3 linked regions of the Xenopus tropicalis genome follow. The protein of the gene in region 1 interacts with the protein of each later gene in a pairwise test. Links are inferred from orthologs where the notes say so. Each region holds a gene or a part of one and is shown in the gene's direction. Other genes may lie near its edges.

Region 1 (3,754 bases):
ATAGCAGATAACAGATAAAACACTATTGTATTCTACAGAACTTATCTGTTATCTGCTATGTAACCTGTGCCTTTTCTCCTTTTTTCCAGCTTGAATGGCTGCCCCCGTGGCTACACAGCAGCTTATTTATATAAACTATAGTAGTGTTACTGTAGCAAACACACAACTTTTACCAGTGCAGGGCAACAGTGCATTATATTTTTATTACTTTAAAACTCTTTTCTGGTGTTAACAGGCAAACACCTGAATAGCAAAATGACAATAACAAAACATTGTAGCCTCACAGAGTAATAGTTTTTTGCTGCTGACGGTCAGTGATCCCCATTTGCAAGCTTAAAAGTGTCAAAAGAAGAAGGTGAATTATCCAAAAACTATAAATAATGAAGACCAACTGAAAAGTTGCTAACATGGGCTATTCTTTAACATACTAAAAAGTAACTTGAACCCCTTTAAAATACAACCTCCAGTCTCCTCCTAACAGCCTTTGACTACCAGCTCATCAACAGTGAAGGGCCACAGGTTGTATAGCCATATTTATACAGAAATATCTAACAACTGTTGCACAATGTCACCCCTCAGAAGGGCCTGAGTGTAGGGTTCATGTTGATCTATGGGCCAGTTTGCATAAAGCTGAAAACAGACGGGGGGGCTGGGACTTTTAGGGGGGAAAGTAGAGCTGAAGCAGATGAAGGAGCAGCCCCATTTCCCAGGCACATAGAAGTGCAGGAAGCAGAAGGCACTTACAAGAGTTAATAGAAGAGCTGCCAGGCCAGCCAGGAGCAGCAGGATCTCACACAGACAGCAATGCATGGCGGCGGCAGCAGCATCCCTGGCACAGCGCTCTGGGGAGAAGAGTCGTAGCCCAAAGCCACGGCTGAGCCCTTTCCGGTCTGCGGTAAGTCCACTGACTGCATCTGCCGGAACCTATGGCACTGCTACACCTATGCGGAAGTGTTTCTATGTTACTAGACAGGAACTTATTGCGAGCGAGAGAAGCGAAGGGAAGCTCCGCAGCTGAGCCGCCTCCGCACAGCGCCATCGCCTGGTGAATAGACTGTACTGCGCGAACAGTAGCTTTTTCCTAAGAAATTGTAGTTTGACGCCCTTCGGCTCGGTATGGGAGGACAGCAGCTGCATTGCAGCGCACATTAAGGAATATCTATGAATTCAATGCGTATTTAAAAGGCGCTAAATGAAATAAGGTTGAGCTACTTCCATGTGCGCTAGTGAGCTGCCTAACAGTGTAGTTCTGGCATTGTGCCGGCAGGGGGCAGGTAGGCATAGGGGCTTGCCTGGCGCTACATAGGAAGTATAGTAGCCCGGTGTTTATAGGCAACACGTGTGGCTGAGCCGGGGCTGCCCATTGGCAGACAGGGAGCCGGTTGTTGAAGTTGGGTACAAGGAGGTTACAGGGGCTCCGCGCTGAGGCCTGCAACATGGCGGCTGGTTTCAAGTGAGTGGCTCCTACGTATCAGGCTAGTTACCAGGATAAACGGGCAGGGACCGGGGCAGCGGCAGATAAGGAATCTCCTGGGCTTAGGGAGTGGGTGCCAGTTATATGCAGGGCAAATGTAGCACATGTGCAGTTACCAATAGCAACCAGTCAGCAATTAGCCTTGAAAGCAACAATGTGATTGGCTGCTAGGAGCCTATTGCACTAATGTACTTTACCTATTTTTGTAAATCAGTCCCATGAGTTGTAGTGCAGATCTATGGTTCCTTTAAGGCTATGAGTATTCTCCACCTTGAGTTGGGTGATGTATTCCCAGGGGCTCATTATGTGGGAATGTAATGGGAGAGGCTAATGATGATCCCATAAGTATCAGCGTTTTACAGAGATGCTGTTGGTGGCATTAGGCAGCGGTGGGCAGCCATTAGCCATAAAGGTGTTGTCGGACTGCAACTCCCAGAATATCAACTGCAGCCTTGTTCTGTCACTGGAAGCCCTATGTGCTACGCCCTAAAGCAGCAGTTTTGTTGTATGTTGCAGCCTGATGTGTCCAAAACAAAGTTTTGTCTTATTTTAAAGGGAAAGTTCTCCTTAAAATTAAACTTAAGTATAATGAGATGTTTTTATCCTCGGGGAGCTGTTTCTCCCCAGTAAATTAATTGGGTTGCATCTGAATGATTTGTCCTTCTACGACTCTCTCTTCGTCTTGAAAAGTTGTATGTTCTCTGGTTGCCAGGGTCATGGGAGGGGCTACATGAACCCCGTGGGCCTCCTGTTGGACTCTGTACTAATTAAACAGTTTATATTAACTGAACACCTCTGGGCTGTCTGGTCCATACACACTGTGCATCAGTGCAGCGGCTGCAAGGGGTCTAGTACCCTACAACTGCCAATCAGGCGTTGACTTTCAAACAGGTGTAAATGCGTACTGTTTATGGGTTTCTGTGGTTTACGTAACTGGGTGCATGTTTTGATAATTTTATTACATAACTTTACATGTGTCTCTGTGCTTGGACCCTATGGTTTCCAGGAGACAGTTTATGGTACAGTGAACTGGGTGTCCGTGTATTTATTGAGCAACTTACGTGTTAGGTCTAACTTGTATTTTAGGCAGCAGGCAAACATAGGGTTAGAGCAGTGATCCACAACCAGTGGCTCGGGGGCAACATGTTGCTCACCAACCCCTTGGATGTTGCTCTCAGTGCCCCCAAACCAGGTAGTTATTTTTGAATTCCTGACTTGGGGGCAAGTTTTGGTTGAATAAAAACAAGATTTACTACCAAATAAAGCCCCCTGTAAGCTGATAGTGTGCATAGAGGCACCTAATAGCCAATCACAGCCCTTATTTGGCTCCTCCATGAACTTTTATGATGCTTGTGTTGCTCTCCAAGTCTTTTTACATTTGACTGTGGCTCACAAATAAGAAAGGTTGGGGATCCCTGGGTTAGAGAAACACAAATTGACTTGTGTGGAAAAAAATTGCCTAAAATATCTTATTTTTCTCCCTTCTTCTCCCTCACAGGACGGTGGAACCTTTAGAGTATTACAGAAAATTCCTGGTAGGTATATGCACACTAACACAGGCCTACTGGGGCACTACCAGCCATACAGTGCCTATACTGGACTCAGAAATCAGCTCTGGGTTTAGAATAATAGATCCCTGTCCAATGTACATTCAGAGCCAAGCAATGATTCCTCCATAATTAACTTGCATATTCAGCATCCACTTTCACCTCCCATTGACTTGGAACAGTAAATGCCTCACAGCAGGGATCCTGGTGCTGCCGGAGTGTCCCATTGGCACATATATTGGCATCTTTAGAGCATTGCTTTATTGTGTTGGTTTTACAGAAGGAGGCTTGTCGGCCGGACGGTCGAGAACTCACTGAGTTTAGGACAACGACCATAAATGTTGGTAAGTAGAATTTATGTTAAAAAAACAATCTTTATTTTCAGGCTGGCTATAATAACGTGCATTGTTCATGGATCTGTCATCACCAATGTCTCATTGTGCTCTTAATTAAATCTACCCACCTTACCATGGCCTCCAGTAAAACTGCTGAAAACAGACCTTGGCCAAACCATTGGATGAACCAATCTTTCCCACCAGCTGATTGGCTGAAAACATTTGCTCATTTGAAGGCCTTACTTGAAAGCAGGTTTACCCACCATGATAATTATGAAATTGCTCTCAAATTTGTAGGGGTCACCATTAATTAATGATAGGCCAATTTTATCAAGAGTTTTTTTTAATACTGTGTTAATTATTGTTGCAGGTTCCATTACCACAGCGGATGGTTCAGC
Region 2 (3,754 bases), about 26 Mb from region 1:
TACAAGGTCCATAGAGACAACAACCATTGCTGTGTAGAGTACCTAAGCTGAACACTATAAACTTTACAGGGGATGAGAGGTCATGAGAACTTTTAGCCTATTCAATGGCTACATTTCATTTGCAGATGCAAATATTTTTGTGCTATATATATATAGAGAGAGAGAGAGAGAGAGAGACTGAGTACCATACAGTACATGCTGGGACTTAATATACAGAAAAAAAGTTTTTATTTCTGAAATAATACTCTGTCTCTATATTTTGTTTATTTTGACCAGCACCAGATCTCCGTTTTTAGGGTTGTGCTCCTCTCTGCACCAATATATACATATATAAACACACTACTTCTGCATTACAACTACTTTGGCTTTGGTTTTTGCTTTTTATATGTAAAAAATTATGCAGTTTTTGCAAAAACATGTAGATTTAGGTTAAGAATGTCTGTCCCCTATACACAATATTTTTTCCAAACAATATAATGAATTGGTAGTCTGAGTGAATAAGGATACCTGTGTCCTGGCAAGTCACCTGCTGCACAGGCTATATGTACATTCTGGATTTGAATACTTAAACCTACATGGTCTTAGTCTTACTGGTTACAGCCTTCCTTATTTAATATAACAGATTGATTGGTTTCTAATCTGATGTACAATCTGTGCAAATCCCTGAAAAATAATAATTATTAAGTGGACATGTGTCACTCTTGACTTCTAACATACATTAAAATCAAAATATGTATGTAAGAAGTGGTGCATTTCTTGATATTTTTCTGCCTGGACCTGTAAACCTTAAGTCATGTCCTTGTAAATGAATTTCACCCTTCCCCACCCCCTCACTTCTGTATTCTCCTCCTGTATTTTTTCTGTATTTTTGCTGTGTGTTTAACATTCAATTATCTTTATCTCCTTTAATCAATTAACTACATCTGCTTGTTTTCTGTAGATCAGCACAGCAACTTGTACATGGCTGTAATATGAACATATCACTCCCCTTCGCTAGCCAGTAGCCACAGTTTAAAAAAGACAAAAAAAATTTTTGTGATCATTTGATAACATTTATTGGCTAATAAAAATGCAAGCTTTTCACATTAAAATAAAATGACAGCTCTTCATTAAGCATAATAGATTCAGGATAGGAGCAGCTTGTGCAATGCATGGAGACTGGCTTCTCTTTGTTCCCAATGTGTCTCTTCCTCCCTCGCTTTGCATTTGTGGGAGGGAGCCTGGTGCACACATTAATATTCCCACTGCTGACAGGAGGCACATTCAGTGAGATCTGAGCAAGATGCAGCCCCTGTCCCTGCTGTATGGGAGCTATCAGAGATCCTGACTGCAGGTACCTGGATTTATCAGCCAGGGCAGCATCCTGGAACATTACCCCCTAGGTGGAATTACAAATTAAGGCCGCTGGGGATTTGAGACACTGGCTATAGAACGCTGCAGCAGTGTGAGCCATGGCAGAGGTAAAGTGCAGCAGCAGCACTGGGTCTCCCACTACTAATGGGCTGGTGGCGAATGCAGAGCTGGAGGTGAAGAAGCTGCAAGAGCTGGTGAGGAAGCTGGAGAAGCAGAATGAGCAGCTGAGGAACCGAGCCAGTGCAGTGAGCAACTGTACGCCAAGCCCACACCTGCTGCTGCAGCATCCTCCTTCTGTGGTGCATCAGTCAGGGACATGCATCCTCTCTTCCCCTGTGCTCACACGGCCCGCAGGGCTCTGCCTTCCCAGTCCCGTGCCCACCTTGCTGTGCACTTCAGCAGTGGCCGGCAGCCTGTTTTCCCCAGAATCCATGGGCTGTTTTAGTACCAACAAAAGGCTGCATTTGTCCTGCATCAATGCTGCAGAGGGGCCCCAAAATGACTGCCCAGTTCCAGGATCTACCCTACTGGATGAGGTGCAGGTTCTGGATTTGGAAGACGGGTATTGCAGTGGCGATGAGGATACCTGGTAATGATATACTGGGGGTTTGGAAGGCTCTGAAGTTGAGAACAAATGATAAGCTTTGTATACATTGCATTCACTACATTTAAATTTGTACCTTTAAACAGCTCTATACTTGGTTATGGGTGTGCTGATTTACATTCAGATTAGTTAGCAGTCGTTGGACTGGGTGGGGAACTGTTTTGTATGGTACTACTGGGTATGGGAAGAAAGATTAAAAGTATATGAAGGCATGCAGGAGCATTCACTCCAATAGGAAAACTACATATTTGCCAAAGAGGTTTTAGCTTGTTATTCCTCAGTGATTGGGAATAGTAATACAATCTGCTTTAGGCAATAGGATTTGCTTTTATCTCAGCCTAAATCTTACAGAGCTGCCATCATTTATTTATTAACTGCTTCAGCACTTGAGATTGAGTTTATATTCAACTCTCACTTGCCAAATGCCTTTGTGATTTTTTAATTAATGGTGAGGATCTTGGCATCAGGTAATATTTTAGGGCAGGTTAAATTGAAGGACAGAGGGCTGTTTTAGTTTGCACCATGCCATCTCTGCATTTCAATACTCTGTAGGATCAGAAGAGAAATGCTTGCTTTTCTTTGCAATTGTTTTAATCCTTTTGTAATAAGTGATATATACAGTATCTATAAGTAACAAATAATCTTTTGGAAAATACTGATATTAAGTTTATTGGCAAAGTGTGTGTGGAGTGTGTGGTAAAGTAGTCTCATGATAGCTAAATATATCCCTCACCTGATTTATACAGAGCATCATCAAAGCACATGCTCAAGCGGGAACCTGGAAGACAGAAGCCCTCACCACAAAGGCCAATCTGTAACATCTTTATATAGATCACACATTTTTTCATGTAATGAAAAGCACAGACTTGTATCTTCTGTACAGCTGAGTGAATGAAACTGTATTTCAACTTGGAACCACAAGCACATCTAGGGGAAAGCTCACCCAGGGGGTGGGGTCAGTACAAGTGTATTATTACCCACCTGTTGAGCTTAGAATTGCTTAGGTAGCAAAACAATTTCCTGCAATAGCCCTAAGTGTTCTTCAGTCTAATTTGTCAAAAATGAACAAATTTGCATCAAATTCAACTATTTAATTGACATAGTAACATAGTAAGTTGGGTTGAAAAAAGACATACGTCCATCAAGTTCAACCATAATGCCCTATATACTGTATAACCTGCCTAACTACTAGTTTATCCAGAGGAAGGCAAAAAACCCATCTGAAGCCTCTCTAATTTGCCGCAGAGGGGAAACAATTCCTTCCTGACTCCAAGATGGCAATCGGACCAATCCCTGGATCAACTAGTACTAAGAGCTATCTCCCATAACCCTGTATTCCCTCACTTGCTAAGAATCCATCCAGCCCCTTCTTTAAGTTATGTAATGTATCAGCCAGCACAACTGATTCGGGGAGGGAATTCCAGAACTTCACAGCTCTCACTGTAAAAAATCCTTTCCGAATATTTAAATGGAACCTCCCTTCTTCTAAACGGAGTGGGTGCCCTCGTGTCCGTTGGAAGGACCTACTGGTAAATAAAACATTAGAAAGGTTATTATATGATCCCCTTATATATTTATACATAGTTATCATGTCACCTCTTAAGCGCCTCTTCTCCAGTGTAAACAGACCCAACTTGGCCAGTCTTTCTTCATAACTGAAACTTTCCATACCCTTTACCAGCTTAGTTGCCCTTCTCTGGACCCTCTCTAACTCAATAATGTCCCGTTTGAGCACTGGAGACCAAAACTGAACAGCATATTCTAGATGGGGCCTTACCAGCGCTCTGTAAAGGGGAA
Region 3 (3,754 bases), about 100 Mb from region 1:
GCTCTGGCACACGGGGAGATTAGTCGCCCGCGGCAAAACTCCCTGTTCGCGGGCGACTAATCTCCCCAAGTTGCCTACCCCTGCCATCCCACCGGCGAACATGTAAGTCGCCTGCGGGATGGCAGACGCGGCGTCGCGATTTTGCGTAAATCGCCGAAAAAGACTCGCGAGCCCTAAACCTGAATTACTGATACAGCAATGTATCTTAACTGATAGGGGTTAAATATTAACCCTTACACTTAACCTTGGCATGACAAAAAGACTTGCAATGTATACTCGGCAAGTATTTGGTATAGACTGATAAAACAATCGCAAGTCTATTAGAGAAGCTTATTTAACAGGTCGCTGCGACCAAAGGAATTTAAAAGTAGTATTACAGCAGGGCAAGTTCACTGTGGGTGACCTTATAAAAACTAAAATAAAACCTTTCTCTGTCTATTTAGCAAGTCTATTAGCTTCACAGAGAATGAAAATGCCTTCAATCACCTGCGATCCCGGCGCCCCGATGTGTTACACGGTGTAACGCGCATTCCATACCGTTCTGCAGGTACAATTTCAAAACACCGCCATGACAACAGCTGTGCAAAGCACAATAAGCGATGTACTGATTGCGAGAAGGACCAAAAAAAATAGATCTCAGAACTGAGCAGCGGGGAATGTCACCACTGAGGCGGGAATAAGAATAGCAAGGGGCTGGGCACTGGAAACCTAAGGTAGCCATCTTTGATTCTGGCCATAACTAAAAGTGTATCGTGTAACAGATTTTTATTAAACTACTAACTTTTTTGTATTATTATTGTATTGATAACAGTATTTTTGTTAGTAAATGTGCCCACATTCCACAACTACCATAATGCCATGGTCTCAGGCAGGCACGCTTTTCGACCCGTTGTCACTTAGCTACTCATCACTCGGTTACGGGTACCTGTTAGACACATTATATTTAAAAACCCGTTCCTTCAATATTCCGAAAGCTTTGGGTTGCCTGTTGGAACTGGCCCTTTATGAAGTCAAACAGGAAGTGGATCCAAGTTCACGTGGATTTGCTGGTTGTGCAGGGAGAGTCGGATTGCACATACACAGTACCGCACATACACGGTGATGGCTGCTTGCACTGAGGTGAAAGTGCAGGGATATGAGGAGTTCTGCGAGGCGCTAAAGAAACACAAGGGAAAGCAAGTGTTTGCTTATTTCTCGGGGAATAAGAACGAGCAGGGGGTGAGCTGGTGCCCTGACTGTGTGAAAGGTACGGGAGACATGAGGGATATATTCCGGCCATGAGCTAAACTGAGATTCTTGTGATTTACTTCTGCTGTGTCACATGACTAGACTGAGCATTAGGCATAGCAGTGCTTTTCCTTTTTGTGTGGGGGAGAGGGGCATTATGGGATTGCCACTTAGTTTTGGTGGGCATCACTGCAGCTTTATGAGGGATTAAAATTGATCTGTGTTTGCAATATGGGTTTAATGTCGGTCTTAATAAGTACTGTTTCAATCAGTTATAGCAAAATGTAAAACATTTGCCATTGGGAAAACGCAGGCTGAGAATCAGCCCCTATATTGGCACTAGCTTACTACCTTGCCTGCACCCGGAATCATTGTCTGTGCCTGGGTGCAGACAGACCCAAGGGATATCAGCAAAAAAAGAGCAAGAGTTTGAATTTCACAGCTGATATCCGCCGCGTCAACAGCTGGTACCAACATTGGGGCTGATTCTTGGCCTGCATTTGCAGTTGTGTGTTTACTTTGGAAATACTACTATAGTTTATATAAATAAAGCTGCTGTGTAGCCAGAGGGCAGCCATTCAAACTGAAATTGGGCTAAATGACACAGGTAAAATAATAGATAAGGTCTGTAAAACACCATTGTATTTTACAGAGCTTATCTGCTACAGAGCTTTTTTGTTACCTGCTATGTAACAATCAGCACTGCAAATGATATTTGTTCAGATTTGCATAGCGCACGTATTGTTCTACTCTGTGGTCACCACTTCTAAGGTGACAGAGATTTCTAAGCAATATGGGGACCTTTGCAACCTGGAAAGAGGCAAGGCAAATAATTACAAAACTAAAATTAAAAAAAAAAACTGAAAAGCAGCTAAGAATACCCCTTGGAGTGGCTGAACCCCTGAGCCCTTCCATAGTTGTACATTTTTGCTGTTGTTGCCACTTGACTATGACAAGTCACTTATATTCTAACAGGGGTTCTAGCACTAATTTTGATAAAATTACGGCACATTGTGCTTTTATTTTATATATGTTTGTAAACATAAATCTAGTAAATAAGTCTCAGTAATTGCACATTGTCTTGTCCTCCTCCAGCCCCAACCACTGCTGCCTTTTCATTATTATATATTACAATTAAAGAAGCTCCAACTGTTTTGCCATAGATTGTAGTTTAACAGTAGACTTGGCACACAGATTGGTGTGGTACAGGTACAGAGTGGCGCCAGAACAGGTCAGTGTACCATCTATTTGTAGGGAATGTATTTGTAAGAAATTGCTCCAAAAATAATGTTACAGCATTAGAAAATGCATTGACCAAAGTTCATATTGTTCCAGTCCATGCCTTGGAACTGCAGTGAAACTAGTTAGCACTCTGAGCATGAACCTAGGCTTTAGTGACAAATCATTTATATAGATTAGTTGAAAGGTAGCAACTGTACCATGTGTTATACATGTGTGTATTTTGGATAAGCATAGTGCACAATTATGGGATTGTGCACTATGCCTCTTTTTATCAGTTACTGGGCTCTCCTAAATTTTGGGAATAAGGCTTTTGTATAAACATATATTTATAGTACTTATTAGTCAGTGCCACACTGGACCCTATGTACTTTCTGAGCCTCTTACCAGTTAAAGGGTCTGTTTTGTTTATACTTGTGCATTCTGCTTTATCTCCTGCTGTTGGTTAATTAAATCTCCCAGTGCCCTCCAACAGCACATCCTTGGTCAGAGGGATCTTTAATGATGAATGTTACCATAAAGTCTCATATAAATCTTATTTCATTATCATTTAGTGTACCTTATCCTTAAGATAAACATGACAGGTGAGATTTTGTTTCCAGAAATTCAATTTTTATTTGCAATTATGTAAACAAACAACAGGGATAAAAAAACAAACAAACAGATATACAGTATGTAACATATTGACAATTGCTTGGTCCAGAGAATCGCATAATGCAGTGACTTAACACAGCAGTGCAGTTCAAAGGTCAGGGCTGCCTTACTAAATGGGCAAATGGGGCATCTGTTGGGGGGCCACTGTGCCCTACCCGCATGCCAGTACATCTGCCCTCTTTACCCACCGCTGCAATCCCTGCTTTTCAGAAAAAAAGAAAAAAAAATTCAAGGTGGCCATGTGTTCCACTGTAGAATGCACAGCCATCCTGGAGAGAGAGAGAGAGTGCCAAGCAGCAAAATAAAGAAGACTTTGTTATTGGTATTCTGCTTGTGCAAGTGTAGGTAGTAGTGATGTGTGGGCCAGCCCGATACCCATGGGACCTGCGGGTTAACCCACGGGTCGGGCAGGTTTGGGCCGACCTTGGCACATCACCTGTGGGCTGAGCACTTCCACTCGCCCTCCCTGCCCGCAGCCTTACACTGCCGGCGGCTCTTCTCCGGCTTTTCTATTTATAGGCCCGTGCCCGGAAGCCCTGCCCCTTTTGTGACGCTGGCTGGTGGCCACTGGCCATTTCTACATTGATTATACTGGCACCGCTGGGGTTAACACACTGATTATACATTTTGTGAA

Evidence for each region.
Region 2: the proteins of exosc8 (region 1) and slain1 interact in binary tests that used the Homo sapiens proteins (3 or more experiments, as listed by UniProt). The link is inferred for Xenopus tropicalis from reciprocal best matches to the Homo sapiens genes EXOSC8 and SLAIN1.
Region 3: the proteins of exosc8 (region 1) and txndc17 interact in binary tests that used the Homo sapiens proteins (3 or more experiments, as listed by UniProt). The two-hybrid records come from large-scale screens. The link is inferred for Xenopus tropicalis from reciprocal best matches to the Homo sapiens genes EXOSC8 and TXNDC17.

Annotation. Positions count from the first base shown.
Region 1 is NC_030678.2:151,682,790-151,686,543, reverse strand, and holds the start of exosc8 (exosome complex component RRP43), read left to right. Parts: upstream 1-1,380; 5' UTR 1,381-1,436; coding exon 1,437-1,453; intron 1,454-2,972; coding exon 2,973-3,009; intron 3,010-3,301; coding exon 3,302-3,365; intron 3,366-3,726; coding exon 3,727-3,754. Other genes in the region: alg5 (dolichyl-phosphate beta-glucosyltransferase precursor), read right to left, coding at 745-810. UniProt on the Homo sapiens protein: Non-catalytic component of the RNA exosome complex which has 3'->5' exoribonuclease activity and participates in a multitude of cellular RNA processing and degradation events.
Region 2 is NC_030678.2:125,991,475-125,995,228, reverse strand, and holds the start of slain1 (SLAIN motif-containing protein 1), read left to right. Parts: upstream 1-1,299; 5' UTR 1,300-1,451; coding exon 1,452-1,942; intron 1,943-3,754. UniProt on the Homo sapiens protein: Microtubule plus-end tracking protein that might be involved in the regulation of cytoplasmic microtubule dynamics, microtubule organization and microtubule elongation.
Region 3 is NC_030678.2:48,982,135-48,985,888, reverse strand, and holds the start of txndc17 (thioredoxin domain-containing protein 17), read left to right. Parts: upstream 1-941; 5' UTR 942-1,101; coding exon 1,102-1,246; intron 1,247-3,754. UniProt on the Homo sapiens protein: Disulfide reductase. May participate in various redox reactions through the reversible oxidation of its active center dithiol to a disulfide and catalyze dithiol-disulfide exchange reactions. Modulates TNF-alpha signaling and NF-kappa-B activation.